2 linked regions of the Lepisosteus oculatus genome follow. The protein of the gene in region 1 purifies or fractionates together with the protein of each later gene. This does not show direct contact. Links are inferred from orthologs where the notes say so. Each region holds a gene or a part of one and is shown in the gene's direction. Other genes may lie near its edges.

The links. Proteins that work in one complex are often made in the same cells at the same time.
Region 2: the proteins of caM kinase-like vesicle-associated protein (region 1) and acin1b purify together in Homo sapiens (affinity purification with mass spectrometry; 3 studies listed by BioGRID and IntAct, counting the BioPlex papers as one, with this or other methods). This does not show direct contact. The link is inferred for Lepisosteus oculatus from reciprocal best matches to the Homo sapiens genes CAMKV and ACIN1.

What each region holds. Positions count from the first base shown.
Region 1 is NC_090699.1:54,175,258-54,184,981, reverse strand, and holds the start of caM kinase-like vesicle-associated protein, read left to right. Parts: upstream 1-6,079; 5' UTR 6,080-6,437; intron 6,438-9,245; 5' UTR 9,246-9,368; intron 9,369-9,724. Other genes in the region: uncharacterized protein, read left to right, coding at 2,139-3,335. UniProt on the Homo sapiens protein: Does not appear to have detectable kinase activity.
Region 2 is NC_090699.1:13,178,684-13,188,683, reverse strand, and holds the start of acin1b (apoptotic chromatin condensation inducer 1b), read left to right. Parts: upstream 1-6,029; 5' UTR 6,030-6,123; coding exon 6,124-6,261; intron 6,262-9,427; exon of another isoform or gene 9,428-9,539; intron 9,540-9,999; coding exon 10,000-10,000.

The sequences.
Region 1 (9,724 bases):
ATGAGAGTGCTTGTTTAGCACATGACATGTCTTTCGGTACTAATGCTGTTTCTGTAAACAAAACAACACAATTCTGTGCTTCTGCTAAGTGAAAGGGCATTTTAATGATGGAAACGTATTGAAATAATGAGTCTCTGGAGCCAGCGGGAGGGCAGGAGGTGGGTGTGAGTCAGTTAACTGATTGTTTAATTGACCATTTTAGGGGAAAAGAAGCACTCAGAGAGAGGCTGCATGTTGGTGAATAGGGAGGATGGTTAGGAACGTACGGCTGGATTCCTTGATTGCATGAACATGCATTGCTAAAACTAGTCCAGGCGTTGTTTTTTCTAAAAAAAAATAATTATTTTTTTTGAGTAAGGGTACACGATTAAGGTTTTTTTTTTGTAATGAGAAAGATATGTTGCATTGTGCCCTAGTAAAAGCACAATAGGCATTTTGAAATTAACAAAATATTTGTCGAGTCTGTTCAAACAATCAGAGAACTGTTAATAAATGTGTTATTAAGCATGAAGATGGATAATTGACTACTAAGTTATTTACATTTTGTTAATCACCTGGTTACAGAATGAATTATATGGCCAGAGCTGTGCAGAAATGCAGTGGTGCTGATACCCTGGATGGATGGATTATATGACAATAATACCATGGTGAAACAAAATATAGACAATAGTGAACGATCCATCCATTTTCAAAGCCTCTTTATCCAGTGCAGGGTGACTGGGGAGCCAGAGTCTATCCTGGCAAGTGACAGGCACAAGACAGTCTTGTACACCCTGGACAAGTCACTGGTCTGTCACAGGGCACACACAGACACAAACACACACTTACACCAGGGCCAATTTCACAGACGCTAAGTTACCTACCAGTATGTTTGGACTGTGGAAGGAAACCAGAGTAACCAGAGGAAACCCAAGCGAGCACAGGAAGAACATATACAGTAAACACTGAGTGGATGGCACCCCAGGAACTGATCTCAGAGCCCCAGGGAACAAGGGAACAATGCTGACCACATCATCACAGGTCCGCCCGAGTAAAGTAAACCATTGCCAGTTCAATTAAAAGCGTGGCACAAGAATCAGTCAGGAATATCATCTTAAAAAGGCAAAAGTGTTGTGCACATGCACCCTGGTAATAGTCAATGCTGGGATCAGTATTTGTTCATACAAATAAAGTTACATTTAGTCCTCATCACAGGATATTCAGCCAATTGAAGCTGTGGTTAGAATTTTCTATCCTAGGAACTTTCTCTCAGGATTTCTTTGGAAAATCACTGGACTCTTTTTGCAGAGCAGGCTAAAAGTAAAGTGTTAATAACAGTGAAACCCAGAATAACAAGCGTGTGAGAACATCCTTGTCTCTTTGAGAGTTTCATTACTTAGCACTTCAGCAGGTGATCACACAAGGTGTTGGTAGTTCCCCACATCTCTGTCAACTATTTAAATCCTTATTACCCAGTATACAGTTCTAGTTTTTTTTTCTATTACTTCTATAGCTGTTGATTTGTATTTTTTATATTCACGGAAAATGAGATCTTCTCATTATTTCAAAAAGGAAATTCCAAATAAAATGCTAATACACAATTTTAATTGTAGCTTCATTGTAGTGTTATATAAATGTTAAGATATAACCAATTATTTTGGGTGATATTTGACCACTGAAGTATCATGTTTCAAAGTAATATTAAACAAAGCTATAATTACATACTCTGAAATAATTATACATTTGATTCAGCATTTTATGACTTTGGGGATTATAGTCACTGTAAAAACTATTACTGTATTGTATACATTTCCCGTTTGAGCTGTGATGTAACTACACTCACTCACTAATATTTAAATCAAAATTCCTGTTTATTTTAGAGCATGCTCTTTTTTTGCCTTCGTACTTTGGAATGTTTTTGAAAAGAATTGCATCATTAGTTTTACTTGTGACATCACAGGCAACAAAGGATACCCCACCTTTGCCGGTACCCTTTGTATTAGCTAGTGGGCCATTATGATGTGGTTGGTTGTCACAGCTACCAAGAGATACTGTAGTATCCTTCAAAACCCCACTGTTGTCTTTGCACAGCAGAAGAAATTCATTAAAATAAATACATAAAGGACAAAAAGGTGAAAGTAGCCTGAACAAGAGGCCTAATGTCTGCGAGAACTCCAGCCACCAATCAACATACAACAGCTTCTTCTGAGTCAGCTGTAGTTTCTGAAGACAGAGGTGATGATTTCAAACAGACCGTAGCTATTGTACTTGACTCTGGATCTGGCTACACTAAAGCTGGATTCTCTGGGGATGAGAGACCCCAAACCATGATCAAGTCCTCTACTGGTATGTTTATAGGAAGCAGATGGAATACAAAAAAGAGCGAAGAACTGGATTACTACATTGGACACAACATACCCAGAAAGGATTTAGTGATGAAAAAGCCTATCACCCATGGTATTGTGACCGACTGGGATGCCTTAGAAAAGTTGTGGCACCATGTGTTCTACCATGAGCTGCAAGTCTGCCCTGAGGAACATGGAATCTTAGTGACAGACCCTCCTTACACTCCTTCCACCAACCGGGAGAAGACTGCAGAAGTTCTGTTCGAAGGATTTGAGGTACCAGCCATTTACTTAGCTCCCCAGTCTGTGCTGTCCATCTACTCCTATGGACGACTCACAGGTTTGGTTGTGGATTCTGGATCTGGTTGCACTTATGTCTCCCCTGTCTATAATGGGTACTGTCTGCCCCATGCCACCTCCCGTCTCGATCTGGCTGGTCAGGCCTTAAATGAACACCTAAGCAAGCTGGCGGCAGAGGCAGGACATTGTTTCAGCTCAAAGGAAATATCCATAGTGCAGGATATGAAGGAGAAATGCTGCTATGTGTCAGAGGACTTAGGCGAAGAGTTGAGGTCAGAAGAGCAAGGTTACCTGATGGATTACCTGCTTCCAGATGGAAACACCATTACTCTGGGCAGCCAGCGGTTCCTCTGCCCTGAAATACTGTTCTGCCCATCCACTGTAGGTGTGTCACAACCTGGCATGCACATCATGGCCATGAACAGTCTTAAAAAGTGTGCTACCGAGCACCAGGCAGTGATGATGAAGAATGTGGCAACATGTGGTGGTTCTTCGCTGCTCCCTGGTTTCTCTGAGAGACTCAAGATGGAGATGCTGAAGCTCGTTCCCCAGGGCTCCCCCGTGGCTGTGCTGTCTGGGCCCCACCGCCAGTTCTCATCCTGGGTAGGAGGTTCCATTATCACCTGCCTCAGCAGTTTCCAGTCCATGTGGGTGAAGAAACAAGAGTACATGGAGAGGGGGCCTACAATAATGCACAGCAAGTGTTATTAGAAAGAGAGTGGGTGGGGGGAGCTGATACTACCTAAAAAACAAAACAATACAGAAGGGGAATGTAAAAAAAAATGTAAGCAATAAAATAAAAGTGCAGAAAATTCCACATTGCCCTTTCTGTGCAAGTACTGAACAAAAAACATACAGATTTAAAATGGGTCACAGAAACATTTCTTACTCAGTGACTAACTAAAATTCATTGTAAAGGCTGAAATCTAAAGTGTGATTTTCATTCCCCGTGCTTTAGACACCTCTTTCTCTGTTGTTCAGATATCTTCATAATGTACATTAAATGAGAGTTCTGAAGGAATTCAGCTATATTGGTTGGGTGACAAATCACACAAACAGGAATCAGTCAGAGTGCAAGAACACAAGAACGGAAGCAACACACAAGTCTCCCCAAAAGGAACATAAATAACCACTGCCGACACTACGAAAAAGTAGGTCACCATGACTGTTCTAAAGAAACACAGAGCGGTACGAAATAGTCCTCAGCAGCTCAGTATACCAGGTTTCAGTACTATGAAAAAAGAGGTCAATGTGACATCATAGCAGTGAATAACATTGCGTATGGTAAAACATTATCCATGCATTTACAGTAGATGCCTCAGGTTAATATGATTTCAGAATATTTATGTTAAGGACTAAAAAGGAAAAGACAGTGAATTTGAATAAAATCAGTGCATGCTTATTGACTACCACAATAACCCTTCACACATCCCTGGCAAGCTACTTTTTGTGACACATATAAACTAATGCACATGGACATATGGATCCAAGGGGATTTCATCAAGTCACAGCAGTACACTGGCAAGTGCTCCAGAACATCAAGCATCTCCATTAAGTTACGCTAATGGCAAGAAGAGAGATAAAACAACATGTATTAGAAATGAAATGTATTAGGAACACATTTCCAGTACATAAGTGACCATAATATGTTAACCCTCTGAAAATACCTGAATTTTCTATGTACTTCTTATTGGTAATTTTTAAATGGCAGTGATAAACAGGCCCAGATTTACTCCCCTCTCCTTGACCAGCATAGATTTAGAAACTGAAACTTTGATGTTGTTCCAAACGAACACCACACAGATACAGAAAAGGTTCATTTATAACCACCATTTATTCTTTTATTCAAAAACCCTTTGGAGCACCATGGTATCTAGCTCTCAATGTTCTCTAATCAAGATGTGTATTTTTTTGTTTGAATGGTTTGCTTTCCTGATTGCTGTTCTGCTCAACACTGCACTGTAGCCTGATTGTCATCATTTCGTCAATGGTCTTTGCCACAAAGAAAATCCTTCAGATCCGCAAGGAATGAACAGAGTTCCAAGGGAAATGCAGAACATTTATCTTGCCAGGGACATGTAATATTAACCCCCTCTGGAACCTTCTAGAAGTAAAGACTGAAATATATACAGATATATAGTATTTTAATTCTGTATATCTGGGTCAAACACGGTTTATCCCATGTTATCAGAGGGAAAATCAAGGGTGGGCCTTGTTTAACACACCAGTAAAAAAAATGAGTGACAAAAGGTTAAGCTCATGTTTTCCTGTTTTATTTTTATGTGCAATACTTGGGTATTACACCCTGCTTACATGTCTGAGGAGGTCGTCCATCCATTTTCTAACAACTTCACCCAATTTAGGGTCACAGGGAAGCTAAAGACTACCCCAGCAAGCAACAGGCACAGGGCAGTGTACATCCTGGACAGGACGCCCATAGTACGGCGCACAAACTAAGAACAATTTTCCCAGAAGCCAATTAACCTACCAGTATGTTTTCAGACTGTGGGAGGGAACCAGAGCACCTGGAGGAAACCCACACAGATAGCACCCCAGGTCTGGAATTAAACCCAGGGCCCCAGTGCTCTTAGGCAGCAATACTAACCATTGCACCGTGCTTCCCTCATGTTGTTGTTTTTTTTACCTGTTGTACTGAAGCTGTAACCAATTGCACAAGGAGAACAGAGTATCTGTGAAATGTTAATATGATTTTAAAATCCAGAACCGGGGCAATCAGAGGAATTCGTTTAGTGCTAGTAAAGGAGACTGAGCACCAAAGCTACTGTGTAGTGGGGCTGCCCTCATGTGCTCAATATACAGTTGTCTTAAAATTATTTTGTGCTGCCTCACAGTTCACAGTTTTTCTCCATGTCAGTTAGTTGGTGTCCCCAAATTTTCCATGGGTGTGCTCTGTCATCCCCCTGTCTCAGCCAATCCAAAGTCAAGGCTTGTGCAGTCTGCTAGTGTGGTGTCTGCTAGCCTGCTAGTTTGGGCACCAGCTTGCTGCTGGAGGATGAGGAGGATGTACTGTATATAATGGATGGATAAAGAAACTACCGTTGTTCTGAGTCACAGTATAACGCATCCACACAGTACCTATATTCACAATACTGTACAATGCGATACAAGAAAGCACAGCTTCTTGATTCTTGATAATATTGGGTTCAAGCATCCGCACTGCGTAAACGGTGTAAAACCGCGAACTGCGACGGAAATTGGAACCTTTTGCGAAGTTAATTTGTATAATTGTGAAAGTGCAGTGAAGGCAAAAGGCGCTGCGCTTGCTTCTCTTCCGCTCTCTGATAAGATTTTTTTCCGTGATCACACTCCCAAACTTGGATGCACTTACCCCCGTCACCACTACTGTAAGTTAATTTGTGCCACAGTGCACCCAGCAGCTATCACATAACTATAACTTTTCCACCACAGAAGGCCTAGAAAGAATTATTCATTCAAGGCTGTATCATTTGTAGAGAGGTTCATTTAATAGCCACACCCCTCGTTTGCTTGTCAGTTTATCTCGCTGTAACTCCCTCTCTCTCTCGCTCGCTCGGTTTCTGTTACGCGTAGTAGCGATTGAGAGATTCAGTCCCTCTCCAACTCCGGTTAGCCAGAAAGCGCACGGTGGATGGAACAGGAGACCTGGAATTTACCCCTCTCGTTATAGCAAAAGAAACACCTGCAAGCAGCTCAACACGTTAAACAAGAAAAGAGTCGACTGATCTGAAAGCACAGAGCATCTTTATTTTTGTGAAGAAGACTAGGCAGGGAACTACAGTGGACCCTAAATTTACCGAGGACTTGGCATTTTAGGTAGGCGCAGTGGAGCTCTTACGTGTTGTGGGGTTTGTTTTGTACAGTTGTCACTTTATATGTGAGTAGAATGTGAAACGGAAAAGGTTGGTAATTGCCTAAGACAAAGACTTTCTTTTATGCACAGGGTTGATTGAGCGGATTCTTTAAAAAAAATCAAATGCATTATTTATTGTTTGCAGTCCTGTTTATGGTCTGTAACTTAAGTGTAAATAAATACGCTTTGCTATTTTTAAAACAAAATCTGTAATGATCTTGAGTTAGTAAGCCAATTTAAGAAGCGTTATTTTAGAAGTTATCTTTTTTTTCCTCACAAGTTAGCCCACTTGTTATGTTGCATTTGCTCTGTGTTCGACTTCAATGCGAAGCATACACTTCGTGCTTTGAAGTACTGCTGTACTGTATGTAATGTGTGAAGAAGAGGATAAAAAGGATGATGGCATCAACTTACATAACGTAAAACGAGTGCATATAGCAGCCATTTATGCATGTGCTTTCTTTTCTGGGGGGGTCTTTAGATACTTAACATGTTCGCAATAATGGAAAAAGGTACAATTAAGTCACAAAAATAGTCTCATCACCCATAAAACTTTAATTGTGCTCCTTATTTTGATGTTAGTCAGTTGATGATTGCAACATTACCAGATAGTTGACCTGCTTTTTGAAATGTTAATTTAGATTTTGAATTCTTTCTCAGGATGTACTGTAGCCTACAGAGAGAAAAGCGCTGTAAAAACTGCTTTCTTTACGCTCTTAATTCAAAGTAATGAATTGTACAGACAGTGAAGCTGTGGTGTGGTCCACCCACTGCATTAAAAACCTACTATGCATATTTATTGTATATAGTTGTTAGGGGTCTTAAATAAAATACTCTAACCCCAACTTGTCGACTCTTGTTAATACGCTCTGAATAAAGGAGCACGCTAGTTCACCAAGTCAGTTTACTGTCAAAAGTCAGAGTACTACTAAAACTGATAGCTCTTCTTGAATTGAGTTTCAGTGCATCGCTAAGATACAGTACCAAGTCAAAGGAAAGAAATAAATGACCTGAACCTGTCTTAGCTGCGCGGAGCACCGTATTACGATTACTTAAATTCAAATCGTTTAAATTTGTACTTGCATTGAGTTACGCTGAATTGCGCAAAGGAAAAAAAAACGTTAGATCCTGGTAAACTGAAAACGGGAAATGTATACAATACAGTAATAGTTTTTACAGTGACCATAATTAAGAAAGTGGGCAACGTGCAACAAATTGGTTGTAAACAAATGAAATGTACAATGACACAAATAACCCCAACCGTAATCTTAAATCAGAAAGATTTAAGTAGTTTTTTTGTCAAATTAAGGCTTGGAACTGTGTCATACAACAGCGAATAAATAGCGTTTAATTTTGGTGTACTGTAATGCAGTCGGCTGAGATACGCAACTCTCCGATGCCTGCAGTGTACAGCAGTTAACTATTTATTTGCTTGTTTTTCTAAAATACTGTAACTAGTATACTTTTACTCAGACTCATAAGTCATTGCAAAAGATGTTATGAAATTATATTAACTCAGTATTTAAAAATCGAAATCTACTTTTTGTTTTATGCTATTGTTTTTTCTATAGTTTTAGTTTGAAAAAATAATATTTAGTTTTTTAATGCAAATCATTTTTTCAGCAGCAAGTGTGTACCATTTAGAAACTTGACCATAATAATTGTATTTGAGTTTACAAATAAAAATGGATTTCATCTAGTTTTTTATATTCCCCTGTATTTCACCTAGATTTGTGTGTGAATTTTATTTTAAGCTCAGTTTCACCTTGTATAGAATGTTGTATAAATTTGTATAGAATGTACTTGTGTATAATGTTATACTGTAAATCTAACCTTTTGTGATTGTATTACCTTATATAATTAATGTATTTGGCATATTCATATAATAGTTAGGCAGAAATTCCTTAGGAGTGGTTTGAAAATATTCAAGTTACTCCAGTGTTATTAGTGTTCATAGCTTTCACACATTGATTTTTACCAGAAGTGTTTCCACTTCATTATATAACGAAAACATATAAAGTTATATACTGTATACTGTATACAGTACTGTAAGTAAGCTTACATATAATATAGACAGTAAGTAATAATTTATAAGTTAAATTAATATATATATAATGTGAGTGTTTTATAAAAATACCTTTGTAAACTGTTTTATTCAAATTTGAAGTAGGTTGTGAAAGAAAAGGGGACTTTATTTTTAAAAAATAAATCTTTCTGAAAGCCTTTAAATGGCATTACTTTCTGATTTATTGAGCCTGGGAATGATTTCTGATCTATATAGACATCCATGAGATATATTTCTTATTCTCAGACAAATCATTGTGTCGCTCATGTTAATTATTTTGGTCAACACCTCATATTAAAATGTCAGATTTCCATGTTTTAGTGTAATAATCAAGATCACTTTGTTCTTTAAAGTTCAAAATTGCATTAAAGCAGGCTGGCTGGGTTACAGTATGATTAATACAGTACTATTAGCACAATGACTCATGATTCTGCCGTCGCTTGGATAAAGTGAAATTTGCAGCAGACACTTAAACACAGACATGTGCATGTCTCAAACTAACCGATATCTATATTTAATTCGAACACCATGAACTCTAGCATAAACATACCATAAAACACTTTTTGTTAGACATTTTCCTGAACACTCTTGTCACGTCTTGTACCTTTCTCTATGATATCTCTTCAGAACTGCTATTGTTGTCTTATTGTTGTCATTGCTAGACATGTGTATATTTGCTGCTGAACGTCTATATTATTCCTTGCAGTTGCTTATCCATCTCACTGCCACTCAACATCTGAGTCGCCCCCATGTGGCAAAACTGAAAGTAAACCAACAGCGGCTGTCTCGGGTTCTTTGGCATTTGAGGTTTTCAGTTGACAGTACCTGAGTGAGTTGTGTTTTGAATTGTCCAAAGGTTGGAATATTGCCATTGCATTCGTGCTGCTTTACCCCATGCATTTATAGGAAAGAACTGGCAGAGACACTGCTTAAATACTTGTCCATTTCATACATTAAACTCGGAATAAAACTACAGCACCTTGCCGCAGCGTTCAAGTAGTGTCATTGAAAAAAGGTGGAAGATTTGACCCAAAAGAGCTCAATCATTTCATTGTGGATGTAGGATGGGGTGAAGACCCTTTTGGTCTTGGGGTGGATTGAAGACCTTTTTGGCCAAAGTTAAAACTAAGGGGAAAAAATACATATTGATTTATTTTGTATTGACATTGACAGTCTTTTCCTGTT
Region 2 (10,000 bases), about 41 Mb from region 1:
ACAGGAGACACAGTGAGAGAGAGAGAAGATCACAGAGAAGCCCTCAGTAATACACACACAACAGGACAGGAGACACAGTGAGAGAGAGAGGAGATCACAGAGAGTCCCTCAGTAATACACACACACAACAGGACAGGAGACACAGTGAGAGAGAGGAGATCACAGAGAATCCCTCAGTAATACACACACACAACAGGACAGGAGACACAGTGAGAGAGAGAGGAGATCACAGAGAATCCCTCAGTAATACACACACACAACAGGACAGGAGACACAGTGAGAGAGAGAGGAGATCACAGAGAATCCCTCGGTAATACACACACACAACAGGACAGGAGACACAGTGAGTGAGAGATAGGAGATCGTAGAGAAGCCCTCAGTAATAAACACACAACAGGACAGGAGACACAGTGAGAGAGAGGAGATCACAGAGAAGCCCTCAATAATAACATTACTAATAATAATTGACAGGGCGTGAGAAGTGCTCTTACCGTAGCACCGTAAAGGAATAAAGAAATGTCTCTTTGCCTCCTGTTCCCGAAATGTGAACCGCGATCACGCGTGTTTATTTACGTCTCAGTCCATGTCCTCCCGATATTCTTCAGGCACCACGGTTACACAGACACCCCCGGTTCGGTCCCTGGGCCTTTCCTTGCCGCCGCTGTCGGTACACAACTCTCGGAGTTTGCCTGGGTCTGTGGTGTGTGTGTTGTTATTGTTGTTACTCGCCCGTCTGTGAAGGAAGGAAAACACCACAGCTTCCGGTTTTAAACGGAAACCGGAAAGGGCTGGTCTCGACGAGAGCGACCGGAAAGAGCCGAGGGGCGATCCCTTCCGCTCGGGTCTTTCCGTCAACTCGCGCTGTGGACGCGCAGGAGCTTCTCTGTTTCCGGATCACGACCGGATTTGTGTTCTGTTGTGTAGACAGGCCAGAGCAGTGTTTTAGTAGCCGAAATAATAATAATAATAATCATCGCTGCCGCTGTTGTCATCATCACCAGCTACAGAGTCGATCCCCCTGCTGATGTCGCAGGAGAGACGTGCCGACAGCGCCACCTAGCGTTGGTAAAAGTTTGCGCCAGTAGCGGTTTAATTCCGACGCGGATCTGCAGACGCAGCACAAACCGCTTGAGAAGAGAGCTCTGCTCTTTTTTTATTATTAAACGTATAAAGAATTTTACAGACACAACCAGAGGATCGGAAACAGACAGGCACAAGAGAAAAAAACACAAACAGAAAAAAAAACAGTTAACCGCCAGAGGTAATGAAGTCAATGATGTGTTCGGATGATTTTTGGACAGATATCAAACGTTTTCCTTGCTGTAGCATTTCTCAGTTTTTTTAATAGAATTTCGTTTCAACTCCACCTCAAAAGTACTGAAAGGGGGAGTGTTATTGGACCATTTTGCTTGATGAATGTGACATTTACCCAGAATGACTATGATAAATGTACTATAAATAAATGCTTATTAAACAGCACAATCAAATATCAAAATCCCTCAATCTAAAAACACCTTTAACTGCCTGCACACAAAACACTGCAAGTCCGTCCAGAACAGCTTCCCAAACCCACCCCAGCCCTTGGGTCCCGGAGCGCAGCCCGAGCCCGGCTGTGCCAGCGGGGGAGATCTATCCGCTCGACGGAGGGCGGCTCGGGCCCGGTGATTTTCTGCGCGGACCTCAGAACCCCCTGTACGGCCTTTCTGTCCTGTCCTGGGGCTCCACTGCACCACCCCGGAGTGCGCTGGCTCTGGGGCTCAGGATCTGCGCCGTGATAATATGACTCTGATTTTACTCTGTAGTCGTATGTAGCTCTCTGAATGGTCTTGAATTCATTCAGATCTCTGAATTAATGAGCGGCTGATCGCTGATTGGGGTGTTTGGCCTCCTCTGGGGCTCAGGAGCTGTGCCTGTGGCTGGGAGGTTGCCGGTTCGAATCCCGGGGCTGGCAGAGAAATCCTATTCCTCACTCCGCTGGGCCCCTGAGCGAGGCCCTGAACCCCAGCTGCTCCAGGGGTGCTGTATAAATGGCCGACCCTGCGCTCTGACCCCCAGCTTCTCTCCCTGTCTGTGTGTCTCCTGGAGAGCAAGCTGGGGTCTGTGAAAAGACACATTCCTGATGAAAGAGACTGTACAGAGACAGGAAAGAGATCTGATCTTGATTGTACAGGGCCAGTAAAGAGATCTGATCTTGATTGTACAAAGACACTAAAGAGATCTGATCTTGATTGTACAGGGACAGGAAAGAGATCTGATCTTGATTGTAAAGGGACAGGAAAGAGATCTGATCTTGATTGTACAGGGACACTAAAGAGATCTGATCTTGATCGTACAGAGACAGTAAAGAGATCTGATCTTGATTGTACAGGGACAGTAAAGAGATCTGATCTTGATTGTATAGGGACAGTAAAGAGATCTGATCTTGATTGTACAGGGACACTAAAGAGATCTGATCTTGATTGTACAGGGACACTAAAGAGATCTGATCTTGATTGTACAGGGACAGGAAAGAGATCTGATCTTGATTGTACAGGGACACTAAAGAGATCTGATCTTGATCGTACAGAGACAGTAAAGAGATCTGATCTTGATTGTACAGGGACAGTAAAGAGACCTGATCTTGATTGTACAGGGACACTAAAGAGATCTGATCTTGATTGTACAGGGCCAGTAAAGAGATCTGATCTTGATTGTACAGGGACAGGAAAGAGATCTGATCTTGATCGTACAGGGACAGGAAAGAGATCTGATCTTGATTGTACAGGGACAGTAAAGAGATCTGATCTTGATTGTACAGGGACAGGAAAGAGATCTGATCTTGATTGTACAGGGACACTAAAGAGATCTGTGAGTTGAGAGCACAGCCGTGTGCTCAGCCCTGTGTTGAGGATCGGGGGGGGGGGTGTTCACCCCTCTTTTTGCACGTCTCAGAGTGAAAGTGCCCTGGGGCATACGAGCACCCGTACCTGGCCCCGCTGGCCGAGAGCACCCTCCTCCTCCTCCTCCTCGTGAGAGCGGTGATCGGACCCTGTCGGCCCGAGACCTGTGAAGGTTACTCTTCCGGCCCGGAGGAAAGCCTTTCCGACTCTTCCTGCCATGTCCCCCCCAGGGCATTCCTGCAAGCCGCTGGGACTGGAGCCCCTGAGGGTCTGATATTGAAGACGCTCAGAAGGAATTCCTGACACCTCTATAGCGCCTTTCTGGACCCTCCACCCCTCCCCCGGCGCTGTCCAGTACTGGGGACCCCCTCCACCCCCCCAGTCCGCTCACACACTCCAGCTCTCAGTGGGGAGGAGAGCAGAGTGATGAGGCCAGTTCAGAGAGGGGGGTGATCAGGAGGCCATGACTGGTAAAGACCAGGGGGAGTCTGTCCAGGACACTGGGGTCACACCCCTACTCTTTCTGAGAGACACCCTGGGGTCTTGACTGACCACAGAGGCAGGACCTCAGTTTTACGTCTCATCTGAAGGACGGCGCCTTGTTTACAGTCTAGTGTCCCCGTCACTGTCCTGGGGCATTAGGACCCCCACAGACTGCAGGGTGAGCACCCCCTACTGGCCCCACTGGGTCTCCCACCCAGGTACTGGCCAGGCTCACACTGCTGAGCTCCAGTGGGCTGTCAGTGAGCAGTAGGGGGATACGGCTGTAAATAATAATAATAATAATAATTACACTTATATAGAGCTTTTCTGGACACTCCAGTCAAAGAGCTTTACAGGTACTGGGGATCCCCTCATTTTCCCAGGATTCTTTTCCCGTTCACAACCGTTTTTTTGTGCAATATATGCCATGGACCCGTGCAATACATTTATATTTATATTTACATCTATATTTAGATTCATATGTGCAATACGATCTTTCTGTTCCAGTTTGTTCTTTGTGTGTCCTGGACTGTGAGGTACTCTTTTAGTGCACTTCTCACTGTACTGATTGTATAGTATGTATTGTATTATTATTATTATTATTATTATTGTATCATTCGTTACACTGTTGCTGTGTTGTCTGTGTTAAGCTGCTGTTGGAGTGCAGTTTCCCTCACGGGATCAATAAAGTATCTAGTGTCCCCGTCACTGTCCTGGGGCATTAGGACCCCCAGAGACCGCAGGGTGAGCGCCCCCTGCTGGCCCCACTAACACCTCTCCCAGGTACTGGCCAGGCTCACCCTGAGCCCCAGTGGGCTGTGTGTGAGCTGCAGGGGGGTACGGCTGCTGTTGTTATTCATGTCACCAGACAATGGCCACCTGGCATACAGATTCGTCTGTGTTTAATGTAATCTGTAATACAAGAATCCATCCATTCATTCAGACTGTACTCAGATTCTTCAAAAACATCCTGAAACAGTCCTACACACGTCTTGTGTCATATAAACTAGTTCAACGATGTGACCCCTCTTGTAATGTTAATCAGGTTGGTAGTGTTGTGGCTGATGTCCTGTTCTGCTGACTTGTATGATGTTTTTGTATTGTTATATCACAATGTCTGTATATTTATGCCCTTAATTGTCGTAATTTCTTCTTTGAAGAATAATAACATAGAACCTCATTTTATTTTTTTATTATCATGGTAAATATTTAGCTGTCTCCCTGGCTTCAGGTCACCCTCAAGCTTCAGGTCAAGCCCAGCAGAGACAGTGTCTCTGCCCCTCCGCTGGGAGAGATGCCTCTGTGTCTCCGGGAGGGACAGTAACACCCCTCTGCAGTCTCACCCTCTCTCTGACCTCAGGGCCCAGCGCTGGCCTGGGCTCTGTGTGGGTGATGCTGTAAAGACTGGCTTTGTCCTGAGACTCCCAGAGAGTCCTGCTGGGAGCACCTGGTGGACACTGTCCCCTGACCCTGCTGTCCACTCCAGCACAGGACAGGAGGACACTTTTCCCTGACCCTGCTGTCCACCCAAGCACAAGACAGGAGAACTCTGTCCCCTGACCCTGCTGTCCACTCCAGCACACAACAGGAGGACACTATCCCCTGACCCTGCTGTCCACACCAGCACAGGACAGGAAAACTCTGTCCTCTGACTCTGCTGTCCACTCCAGCACACAACAGGAGGACACTGACCCCTGGCCCTGCTGTCCACCCCAGCACAGGACAGGACACTGTCCCCTGACCCTGCTGTCCACTCCAGCACAGGACAGGAGGACACTGTCCCCTGATCCTACTGTCCACTCCAGCACAGGACAGGAGAACACTGTCCCCTGACCCTGCTGTCCACTCCAGCACAGGACAGGAGGACACTGTCCTCTCCCCTCTCTCCCCTCTCTCCCCCCTCCTCTCTCTCCTCCTCTCTCCTCTCTCCCGGGAGCTCTGTTTCCACTGAACAAGTACAGGTTTACTCCCTGCTGGAAAGAGGAGACAAGAAACACAACGTTTCGGCTGCGGAGCTTTTTCGGGTGTCGGGCGGGTTCCTCTGGAGCCTTTTTTAGCGAGTTACCACCCTGCACCTGTGTCCGTGTCCCCTAATGCGTGTGTAAGCGCTGTGGGTGGTGTTGTTGTACAGGGGGATATAGGCTGGTGCTTGTTCCCCTGTCTCGTCTCTGCTCGTCCTCTGTCCTGCACGAACCCATAGGCCCTACAACACCATCGCCAGGGGCACCTACTGCAACAGACCTGAACTTGACCGAAAATCGATTACACAAGGGAAATAAATCAAGATAAAGGCCAGCGCGGCTTTCATGTTCTCACTTTTAAAAATACTCTGCAGATTCGCCCTGACGTCTATTTCAAACTGCTCAGACACGGGTGTCTTCCCCGACTTTCTGTATATAACAACGTGCAAGTTGTTTTTGAGTCAGTAATGACGAATCATTTGTCCGCAGATGACCGACGACGCCTCGACCTTCGAACTCCTGTGAGCTGCAGGGGTAGCTGACGAGTGCTGTCCGGAGATTGCCGAAGTAGCCTCGGCCGGCCCCCCTCCGGAGATTGCCGAAGTTGCCTCGGCCTGCTCTCTCCGGAGATTACCGACGACTGAGCCTCGCGTTCGATCCCCCTCCCGCTCCTGCTCTTCGGGCCTCTCCGGCTCCGGAGAAAGCCGAGCTCTGACGTCAGCGGGGGGGAAGGCGTTGCAGCGGCCGAGCCGGGGAGAGAGAGAGCGAGCGAGCGCAAGAGCGAGGGGGGAAAAGCAAAGATGGCGGAGCTCGAAGACGTTACGTTGGATGGGAAGCCGCTTCACTCGCTCCGGGTGGCGGACCTGAAGGCCGCCCTGGAGCAGCGAGGCCTCCCCAAGAGCGGGCAGAAGAACGCGCTCATCAAGCGGCTCAAAGGGGTGAGTTTGGCCGCGGTTCCGCGGGGGGCTCGGACGGGACTGGGGCGGCAGGGGGGGGCGGCAGCAGGCTCCCGGAGCACGAAGAAGCGAGCCCTCGGGTTGGAGTCCGCGGCGGCGGCCGCCCCCCGGCCCGGGCGGGCGGGCGGGAGCGAGGGAGCGAGGGCGCGGGCGGGCGGGAGGCCCAGGCCCGGCGCCCGGGGGCCGGGGGCGCGGCGAGGGCGCCGGGCCTGCAGGCTGCGAGCGGAGCGGCGGCTGGAAAGTTGAGCCGCGCCGAGGAGGCCGAGAGGGAGCGAGGGGCGAGTGTGTGTGTGTGTTTACGGGAGTCGGCGCGGCTCGGTGTGTCGGTTAGTTTTTTTTCTGAGTAGAAGTCGACGAGCCCGCGCTTTGTGTGTCTGTGCGCGTTCACGGAGAGCGAGCGAGGGGGGCCGTTTCTCCCGGGTGCGTGCGCGCTCTCTTGCTCGCGCTCGCAGGGGGGGGGGGGTTGAGGCCGGAGGACTGAAGGAGCGGGGATGTCGCGCGCTTTTACAGTTTGTGTTTTTCTGGCGGTGTGACGTGGACGAGGCTCGTTCCCGGGGATTAGCTGTCAGCGAGTGCCAGCGGCCGGAGTCGCGCTGGTTGGAAACCCGGCGCTCTTGACGGGGGGCGTCGGGGGGCTCCCTCTCTGCGAAATTACGAGCCTGTTGGGATCCCCCCGCTACCCACGTGAGCGCGCGCGTCGGCCACTCGCGATGATTGGTTTCAATTAAAGACGCGACGCTCTGTGCAAAAACACGAAGGTTGTGATTTTCAGAGGTGTCGACAAATCAGGCTGGGGGGTCTGTGTGTTTGAGTTGTTGAAGTTTGACGCCCCTGGCCAGGACCCCGATCAGGTGTGCCGAGAAGCCCGGTTGTGCTTTTCTGTGCCATCAGACTGCTGCTGCACTGTGGAGTTTCTCTCTCGCTGGCCGGGAGCTGTGACTGCACTGCACTGTCTGTGTGCGATGCTGTGTGTGTTTGTGCATGTGCTGTCATTGGTTCACCTCCCTGTGTGTGTAGGACGTGCTCAGTAAGTGTCAGTCCAGATCCCAGGACACTGTCAGTAAGAGTAGGGGTGTCCTGACTGGTCAGTACAGATCCCAGGACACTGTCAGTAAGAGTAGAGGTGTCCTGACTGGTCAGTACAGATCCCAGGACACTGTCAGTAAGAGTAGGGGTGTCCTGACTGCTGGTCAGTCCAGATCCCAGGACACTGTCAGTAAGAGTAGGGGTGTCCTGACTGGTCAGTTCAGATCCCAGGACACTGTCAGTAAGAGTAGGGGTGTCCTGACTGGTCAGTACAGATCCCAGGACACTGTCAGTAAGAGTAGGGGTGTCCTGACTGGTCAGTCCAGATCCCAGGACACTGTCAGTAAGAGTAGGGGTGTCCTGACTGGTCAGTACAGATCCCAGGACACTGTCAGTAAGAGTAGGGCTGTCCCGACTGGTCAGTCCAGATCCCAGGACACTGTCAGTAAGAGTAGGGGTGTCCTGACTGGTCAGTCCAGATCCCAGGACACTGTCAGTAAGAGTAGGGGTGTCCTGACTGGTCAGTACAGATCCCAGGACACTGTCAGTAAGAGTAGGGGTGTCCTGACTGGTCAGTACAGACCCCAGGACACTGTCAGTAAGAGTAGGGGTGTCCTGACTGGTCAGTCCAGATCCCAGGACACTGTCAGTAAGAGTAGGGGTGTCCTGACTGGTCAGTTCAGATCCCAGGACACTGTCAGTAAGAGTAGGGGTGTCCTGACTGGTCAGTTCAGATCCCAGGACACTGTCAGTAAGAGTAGGGGTGTCCTGACTGGTCAGTCCAGATCCCAGGACACTGTCAGTAAGAGTAGGGGTGTCCTGACTGCTGGTCAGTACAGATCCCAGGACACTGTCAGTAAGAGTAGGGGTGTCCTGACTGCTGGTCAGTCCAGATCCCAGGACACTGTCAGTAAGAGTAGGGGTGTCCTGACTGCTGGTCAGTCCAGATCCCAGGACACTGTCAGTAAGAGTAGGGGTGTCCTGACTGGTCAGTACAGATCCCAGGACACTGTCGGTAAGTCTAGGGGTGTCCTGACTGCTGGTCAGTCCAGATCCCAGGACACTGTCAGTAAGAGTAGGGGTGTCCTGACTGGTCAGTCCAGATCCCAGGACACTGTCAGTAAGAGTAGGGGTGTCCTGACTGGTCAGTACAGATCCCAGGACACTGTCAGTAAGAGTAGGGGTGTCCTGACTGGTCAGTACAGACCCCAGGACACTGTCAGTAAGAGTAGGGGTGTCCTGACTGGTCAGTCCAGATCCCAGGACACTGTCAGTAAGAGTAGGGGTGTCCTGACTGGTCAGTTCAGATCCCAGGACACTGTCAGTAAGAGTAGGGGTGTCCTGACTGGTCAGTTCAGATCCCAGGACACTGTCAGTAAGAGTAGGGGTGTCCTGACTGGTCAGTCCAGATCCCAGGACACTGTCAGTAAGAGTAGGGGTGTCCTGACTGCTGGTCAGTACAGATCCCAGGACACTGTCAGTAAGAGTAGGGGTGTCCTGACTGCTGGTCAGTCCAGATCCCAGGACACTGTCAGTAAGAGTAGGGGTGTCCTGACTGCTGGTCAGTCCAGATCCCAGGACACTGTCAGTAAGAGTAGGGGTGTCCTGACTGGTCAGTTCAGATCCCAGGACTCTGTCAGTAAGAGTAGGGGTGTCCTGACTGCTGGTCAGTCCAGATCCCAGGACACTGTCAGTAAGAGTAGGGGTGTCCTGACTGCTGGTCAGTACAGATCCCAGGACACTGTCAGTAAGAGTAGGGGTGTTGCTTATCCATCCTTTATTGACCTTTGATCAGGGGACACCTCTGATGTATTCCTTGTTAATGCATGGTATTTGCTTACTGTAGTGTGCTGTGTTTGATTCTGCTCTAATTAGTTGCATTGTTTTGAATAGTGATTAACTGAGATTATAATCAGACTCCACTGACAGAGCAGTGTGAGACACTCCAGACTGGACTGGACTGACTGGACTGTGATCTTGATTAGTGATTCACTGAGATTATAATCAGACTCATTGACACTGACAGCTGTCTGAGCCAGTGTCTGACTGACATTAGTGGTATCGATGTGAGCTGTGAGAGGATGAGAGGGGGCTCTGGTAGAACTGGTGTCCTGGCCTGCTGCTCCAGTGATGAGTTACCATGCTAATACTGATACACCAGGCTGGCTGTGTGTCTGTCTGGGTGTAGGTGAGTTAAACTCTCCTTCTCACATTGTCTGTGTGCTCTGAGGAGATCACTGGGCCAGCCTGCCAGCCTCTGTTAATTTCTCTCTCCTGGGCTTCCTGACTGAGACCAGCCTGTTACCTTGACTTTCAGATTATCCCTGAGTCTGAGGATGGACTGACTGGACTGTGATCTTGATTAGAGATTAACTGAGATTATAATCAGACTCCACTGACACTGACAGAGCAGTGTGAGACTCTCCAGGCTGGACTGGACTGACTGGACTGTGATCTTGATTAGTGATTCACTGAGATTATAATCAGACTCCACTGACACTGACAGAGCAGTGTGAGACTCTCCAGGCTGGACTGGACTGTATGATTAGCAGTGTGTATCCTGAACACCAAGGGGCTGTAGTGTCTAGGCTGCAGTCTTCAGTATAGTGCGTGGGGCTGGTTGAGAGAGACAGCAGTGTGTCCAGTGCTGGTGATTGTGGTTCATGTCTAATCTATGTGTTTATGTTGTTTCAGG